Linked DNA regions of Drosophila melanogaster. The protein of the gene in region 1 purifies or fractionates together with the protein of each later gene. This does not show direct contact. Each region holds a gene or a part of one and is shown in the gene's direction. Other genes may lie near its edges.

Evidence for each region. Proteins that work in one complex are often made in the same cells at the same time.
Region 2: the proteins of CG11839 (region 1) and Sps1 purify together in Drosophila melanogaster (affinity purification with mass spectrometry, with the first as the bait; one large-scale study listed by BioGRID). This does not show direct contact.

What each region holds. Positions count from the first base shown.
Region 1 is NT_033777.3:25,068,066-25,071,471, forward strand, and holds CG11839 (uncharacterized protein), read left to right. Parts: upstream 1-1,861; 5' UTR 1,862-1,899; coding exon 1,900-1,985; intron 1,986-2,137; coding exon 2,138-2,816; 3' UTR 2,817-2,849; downstream 2,850-3,406. Other genes in the region: Stt3B (catalytic subunit 3B of the oligosaccharyltransferase complex), read right to left, coding at 1-38, 98-1,489; CG11836 (uncharacterized protein), read left to right, coding at 3,353-3,406.
Region 2 is NT_033778.4:14,268,215-14,272,435, reverse strand, and holds Sps1 (selenophosphate synthetase 1), read left to right. Parts: upstream 1-1,777; 5' UTR 1,778-2,273; coding exon 2,274-3,470; 3' UTR 3,471-3,664; downstream 3,665-4,221. Other genes in the region: conv (convoluted), read right to left, coding at 46-648, 708-877, 938-1,098, 1,166-1,266.

The sequences.
Region 1 (3,406 bases):
TGGGCATCATGCTTAGTACGATGCTTCAGCTTGCCAGCCTGCAAATGCGATGTATTTTAAAATCAAATCCCATGGATGTGTGTTAGTAAGAACTCACCTTGTCGTACAGCGTCTTCTTCTCAATGGAATCCTCAGCTTCATCCACTTCGGTGGCTGCGCTTATGGCTGTGCCCATTCGCTTAGACGAATCCTCTTGCAGGAACACATCCAACAGTCCCGAAAAGGCCACTCCGGCCAGCATGCACACCACCGGCGTGAGGGTCAACATCAAACGCACCATCACACCAGCGAAGTAAACCGCACTGATGGCGTACAGCACCACGAAAACGCGCTCGTCGTTGATCTGCTTGATGCAGTACCACACTCCCACTGGGAAGGCGCACACCAGGATGTGCAGATCAAAGAAGAACGAGAACCAAGTGGTGGGCTGATGCTCCGACACGGATGCAATGATGGGAATGTGGATCTTGGCGTAGCCAGTATCCCACAGCGAGTAGAAGCGTCCACTCCACGGGGCCACAACGCCCAGCATGGTGAGCACCACGACGGCCACAAAGACGCCAACGCCCACCAGCAATCCGCCGACGATGAACAGCTTCCGGAACTCGTTGCGCGACAGCACGGACTGCAAATGGCGCAAGGTGGCCACGGCCATAAGGAGCACAAACACTCCCAGCGCAGCCATGTGTTCACTGGTGCGTATCGGTTGGAATCCCACGAAGGGGATCTGCATGGAGAACAGCAGTCCCAGGATGTAGAAGGTGCTGTAGCTGGTCAGCAGACGCGGCGAGTACCTGCCCATAATGAGCAGTACGAAGACGTGCAGGGGTATCAGGTTGATGATGAACACGTAGCCACCCCAGGCGGACACCATGTAGAAGTAGGACAAAGCGGCTGCGGCCGACCAGAACACGGATCCAGTCTTCACTGAGCGCACCCACAGGAAGTAGGTGAACTGCAGGGCGAATATGGCAATGCCCTCGTTATCGTACGATCCAGCCACCGACCTACTGATGTAGCCAGGCACGATGGCGATGAAGCTGGCGGCGAAGAGGCCGGCGCCCGCGGACCACAGCTCCTTGGTCAGCAGGTAGGTGGAGATGGAGGTCAGGCCACTGAAGATCGGCGCCAGGAACACGCAGATGTCACGAATATGGACCGGTATGTTGAGTACGTGCAGCAGCCAATGGATTCCGCCGGACGTAATCATCAGGCCGGGATAGACGGTACCGCCCACAATCCTGCCGAGCGGATACCATGCGCGCTCGTCGAACCAGTTGAGGAAGTTGTACCAACCATTCTGCACCATGTAGGCGGTGGCCCGGTAGTTGAACCACGGATCAAACTCATGGATAATCGACTCGAAACGGATGACGGCGAAGAGGCGAGAGGAAAATCCGGCCAGCCAGGCGATTAGCAGGATGGCGAAGGTGATTAGGCTGCTGTAGCCAGCCACCTTGCTGTTCAGCATCTTCGGCGTCCGATTCATGTCCCAATTCCAGCCAGTAACTCGAAAATTATAACCGATCTGAAATGCAACGACACATTCTTCGCTTAGACACGTAGTCTAAAAAAATTGCCGGGTAGACTGCCAACTCGGTTTTAGATACGCTATCGATAGTGCAATCGATAACAAGACCAGGGCAACGTAACTTTGAATGCTTTTAAATTTGTACTTGCCTCGTTTTCGTTGTATTCCAAAATAATTTAAAATACATCTAAACAATTTTTTGGAATAACTTTTTGTTCCATTTATTTGCATAGCATAAAAAAATAAGCAAACTCTCCATTCCATTTGTTCTGTGTCTTGTTCAAAATAATCGCCGTTGCGCTCATCTCTAGTTTAATTCCTATGATTGACAGAAGCCGCTGAAAAACCTAAGAATATTGAAAATCAACATGAATAATGGGAATATAAAACGCCTTCAAAAGAAACTCAGCGTTTCGAAAAAGCCAGCAGTCACTGTGGATTCACCATTGGCAAAATATCCTTTACAAAAGCAAAAAACCCACTGAAATTCTATTGTTGTTTACACTTTCTAGCCGGTGTTTACTAAAACATGTTGTTTTCTAATATAACTTTTAATTTCGAATAAATATCCAGCTAGTTGGTTTCCTTAACTGAACTTAACTATACGTATGACTCCTCGGGCATCTTGACCTGCATTATTTGCAGGATTCCTATCAAACCCAACGTCTGGAAGGTGCATATAAATTCCAAGCAGCACAAACTGAACGTCGATCAGGCTAAGCAGAATAAGGTGGAGAAACCCGTCACCACTACTGCACCCAAGGATCCTACGGGTCCGTCCACCAAGACTTCAGCTCCTGCCAAAAACTCCAGCACACTGCCAGATAAAACTCCACAGAGCAGCCAGGAAAAGCATCCTCCCCTCATTCAAGAGAAAACTGCCCAGGGAAATGCGAGCAGCAAGCCTGAGAATGAAACTACTGTCGAGAAACTGCCAGAAAAGTTCTTCGACGAGGATAAGACCAATAAATCGGAGGCCGCTCGCCTTCAGGACGAGGAATGGCAGCGATTCCAGCAGGAGATCAAGCGGGCGGACACGGAATCCAGTGAAATTGTGGCCGACGAGCAGGAGGACATCAATCTCAAGCGACACATCAAGGAGATCGACGAGCAGATCGACAACTGGAAGAGATTTATTAAAATTAACGATCAGAAAAAAGTACTCCTTAGTAAAAAGCGAAGAGTAGACCCCAAGATGGAGGTCGATCCGGAATTGAGTTCAAGCGAAGAAGATTGCAGTGTGGATGATTTGTTCGACTGGAGAACGAAAAATCTGCATAGCTAGAGAATAAATATGGTATTAAAATGTTACTGTTATAAAACAACAAACGTCTTTTAATTAACGCATTATTCCATTCAAAAGTCTTTCCAAAGCCAAAAAAATTCAAAAAAAAAAGCGTGTTAGAAAATTTTGAAAATATAATTTCGTAGATTTTTATAAACTGAAAGTGAAAAAAACTGGTGGAACAGCTGACACATCTTGACCATGAAAGTGGTCAACAGGTAGAAAGTGGTACGTGGCCACACTGCGACTAACTCTCACATTTTGTATTAGCGCTAAGCGATCCGTACGCTACATTACTATCAGACTTAGTACATATTTTATGTTACATTAATTAGTTACAGACTCTTATTTATTCTTAAGCCGTATCTACAGAAACCTTGTTAATGTTGTGTTGAGTATTACGTATTAGTTGTGCAAATGTTTTGTTGTGTTTAAGAATGTTTTGAACTCGTTACGTTGTTTGTTTGATGTGATCAAGTTTCCCATAAACACAAACATATCCCCCCATTTGTTACAATGATATCTAATTCGTGAACATGAGCCTAAAGTATATAATCTTTTTTTGGATGTTGACGGCGAACTATTCAAGT
Region 2 (4,221 bases), on another chromosome or scaffold:
GCAGCAATTAGTTAAATTTTTCAAATTTTATATTAGCAATTGTACCTCCACATAGTTCATCTGGGTAAACATCTGGAACTCGATCTTCTTAAGACGGTTGCGTGCAAGATCAATAGTTCCAATGCGGGCAATTGAGCCGAAAGTACCACGACCAATATCCGTGAGCACATTATCGCTGAGGAAAAGACGACGGAGGAAACGCATACCCCTAAAACTATTCGCATCTAGGCGTGCAATCTGGTTGTGGGACAAATGGAGCACCTTCAACACAGAGTTTCTGGCAAAAGTTCCGCGACTAAGTTCGCTTAGGGCATTATGAGAAACGTTGCACCATCCCAGCTTTGTCAGATCAGCTATGTGCTGTGCCTCCAGCTTTTTGATCTGGTTGTGACTTATATCCAAGACCTCCAACTCTCTTAGATTCTTAAATTGGTTTCGTTTCAGATTCTCCAATTGATTTCCATGCAAGTCGAGCGTTTTTAGTTTCCGCAATGGCTGGAAAGTCTCAATAGGCAGATCACTTAGGTTACCATTGGTCACACGTATGATTCCCAGACTATTGGCGATCTCTTGGCCAGCAAATAGATCCTTGGGTAGCTGTTGGAACGCATGGCCATCGATTACGAGTTCCTTAGCTTTTCCTAGAATCTGAAAAAAGAATTTCCCGTTTAGATAACGATGGTATCGGTATATTGTTTAATTCTTACGCCGAATCCTAGTAAACCAACGTGGCTTAGATTTGTGCGAAGTAAATGCAGTTGCTCCAAAGTATTATTTACTCCATAGAAAACATAATCCTCAATGGTGGCCAATGGTGTTTCTTCTATGATCAGCATTCGTGCTTTGATATGAGCAAATAGTGGCCCATATAGACGAACTAGAAAGAGAATTTGATTCTTCAGCTTAACAGACTAAAAGGACGTGTAGAAGTACACACCGAAATGTCCTCTGTAGATGGTCAACTCCTCGATGGGCATACCAAAAGAGGCCAAATTCTGAAGGGCTACGGATAAGGTAGCCAAGTTTGTATTTTCGCACCGAATGTAGAGGCCATTATCGCTGCCCTTCACACATTCGCAGGGGTACAAGGCCTTTGATCTGATTTGAAAAAAAAACACCATATAAGTGAAGAAATATGTAATATACAATATTTGGAATAACTCACTTTTTTGGACACTTGAATTCGGGTTCGCCATACACATATTCCGAACTGGCTAGGGCAATGAAGTGCAGCAAAACGAGAGTGCGCAGGCGTAGCTGAATCATGTTTTAATGATTTCGTCACCGTTTTAATTTAGTTTATCCCATGGCCCAAAACCAAGTTCGCTGCTCAAGTCTTTTGTGTGGGCTTCGATTTCCTGAAACTTATAGTTCTTTGTTTAACGATGTTCCGCTTGAATGAGGTGGGTTTTTTTTTGGGATGTGGAGTAAAGTTAACTTGTCTTATCAACGAACAAAGGTAAATGGTTTCTTCTACTTTTACTTTTCGCTCTGCTGGCGCAACAGGTTTTCATGGGCCGCTCTTGTGCGCTCTTTGTGACCAGCACTTTGGAGCTCTAATTGAATTAATGCCAACTATATTAACTGCTCCCGAAAGTCAGAGCACTGTGAACCACAGTTTCCACTTCGGTTCCCCCATTTATTCCGCGGTTTTAACATATTTTTATTTATTTTACCCTTGGCGCACAATACAATCGATAGATTTCGGGCGAGTTGGCAGCCCCGTTGAACCATCGCTTCAGACAATCGGCATCCCAAATATCGAATCAGCCGCACACGCTAATACAACCCTGTTGTGACATCTCGCTCGTTGGAAAAGCAAAAACCAGGCGCAAAATAAATATAATTTGCTAACGTTACTCTACAATTATCTTTGTACAATCGCACAAGCAAACGTAAGTACCAAAAGACAAACGAACGCAACGAACCAAATGGCCAATTCAAAGCGCGCACTTTTTGGCATTTTGCAATTGAAATGAGTGGGCATTGTTCACGTTGCTCGCCTCGTCGACAGGGAGAAATACTGACTTCGCCCGTTTTAGCCGCCATCGCGACTGCAGCCAATCACGGGCCGCGCTACACACACGCGGCAGAAAATCCGTGTACATACACGTCTGAGCGCTGTGGTATTGGTGGCCGGGGAGAACGCGAGTTACTCGCTGCATAGAGTAGCCCACTATGTGTTTATTGCGCGGCAAAAGTGCGTTAATCGGTTAAAGCCGCTACTTACATTCTGTTCTTTGCATCTCCCCCATCCACAGCTATAAAGCAAGATGAGCTACGCCGCTGATGTGCTGAACTCGGCCCATTTGGAGCTCCATGGTGGTGGCGACGCCGAGTTGCGTCGTCCATTCGATCCCACGGCCCATGATTTGGATGCATCCTTCCGCCTTACACGCTTCGCAGATCTAAAGGGGCGCGGCTGCAAAGTGCCGCAGGATGTGCTCTCCAAGCTGGTGTCCGCCCTGCAGCAGGACTACTCTGCCCAGGACCAGGAACCGCAGTTTCTCAACGTGGCCATTCCCCGCATCGGTATTGGCCTGGACTGCTCCGTCATTCCGCTGCGACACGGCGGACTCTGCCTGGTGCAGACCACCGATTTCTTTTACCCCATTGTCGATGATCCCTACATGATGGGCAAAATTGCGTGCGCCAATGTGCTCAGCGATTTGTATGCCATGGGAGTCACAGATTGCGATAACATGCTGATGCTGTTGGCGGTCAGTACCAAGATGACAGAGAAGGAGCGTGACGTGGTCATTCCGCTGATAATGCGAGGCTTTAAGGACTCCGCTTTGGAGGCAGGCACCACTGTGACTGGAGGCCAGAGCGTGGTCAATCCGTGGTGCACCATTGGTGGGGTTGCCTCGACCATTTGCCAGCCAAATGAGTATATTGTGCCAGATAATGCCGTGGTAGGGGATGTACTGGTGCTAACCAAGCCACTGGGCACCCAAGTGGCCGTGAATGCCCACCAGTGGATTGACCAGCCGGAGCGCTGGAACCGCATTAAGCTGGTGGTGTCCGAAGAAGATGTACGCAAGGCCTACCACCGGGCGATGAACTCTATGGCTCGCCTCAACCGCGTAGCCGCTCGCCTCATGCACAAGTACAATGCCCACGGAGCCACCGATATTACTGGATTCGGACTACTAGGCCACGCTCAAACCCTGGCTGCACATCAGAAAAAGGATGTCTCCTTTGTTATCCACAATCTGCCGGTGATCGCCAAGATGGCTGCAGTGGCCAAAGCCTGCGGCAACATGTTCCAGCTGCTGCAGGGCCACTCGGCGGAGACCTCGGGAGGATTACTGATCTGCCTGCCGCGAGAGCAGGCCGCTGCTTATTGCAAGGACATCGAGAAGCAGGAGGGCTACCAGGCCTGGATCATCGGCATCGTTGAGAAGGGCAATAAGACCGCACGCATCATCGACAAGCCCCGCGTCATTGAGGTGCCCGCCAAGGACTAGGTCTCCATTGCCTGACCATCTGCTATTGTCTACCTTAAGTATCTTAATATTAACGTAACGGCTGCTACATTCAGTTGTAACCGGCATGATCGGTCTTTGTTTTTTATAAAAAAGCTTATCAACTACAGATTCACTGATCATTATAATCTTGGACGTCTCTACTGCAATACGAGTGAATAAAATGAAAACACTTGAATCTTTTGTATCGAGTAATTGGAATGCGGGGCATCTGAATGAGCTTTTTCCAGTCAACTTTGTTATTAAATTACAGCTCACAGTTTGGCAAAAAGTGGAGCATCTTCGGAATCGCATACATTTTGAACAGTTGTGTGTTGAGAATTTAATCGACTTATTTAACCCACTAAATAAGTTGTAGAAGTCACATTTATTTTTGTTTAGTTAGTGCACCTGCGCTTTGAGGCTAAAAACTCAGCTGGTGTAAATTTTAAATTTGCTTGCTGATTTTAGTTTACAGTCGCATGCTTATGAAATCAGCACGCGTTTTGAAAGTCAAATTGTTGGAGGTTTAAGTGAATTTTAATCGTTAAGCTTTGTTTCGCAGTTCAAACTTGGGAGCGGGTTATCAGGAAAGTAATTGTCAAGTACCAAGCCAGCAAAAAGAAGTGTCATGTATCTCATTTAGATACGTGTGCTGATAGTACCTTCAGATAGTTTAAAACATGTTTGAGTACAGGAATATTCTTACTAAAAATATGATCATTTTGAACTGAACTTCATTTGAAAATTAATT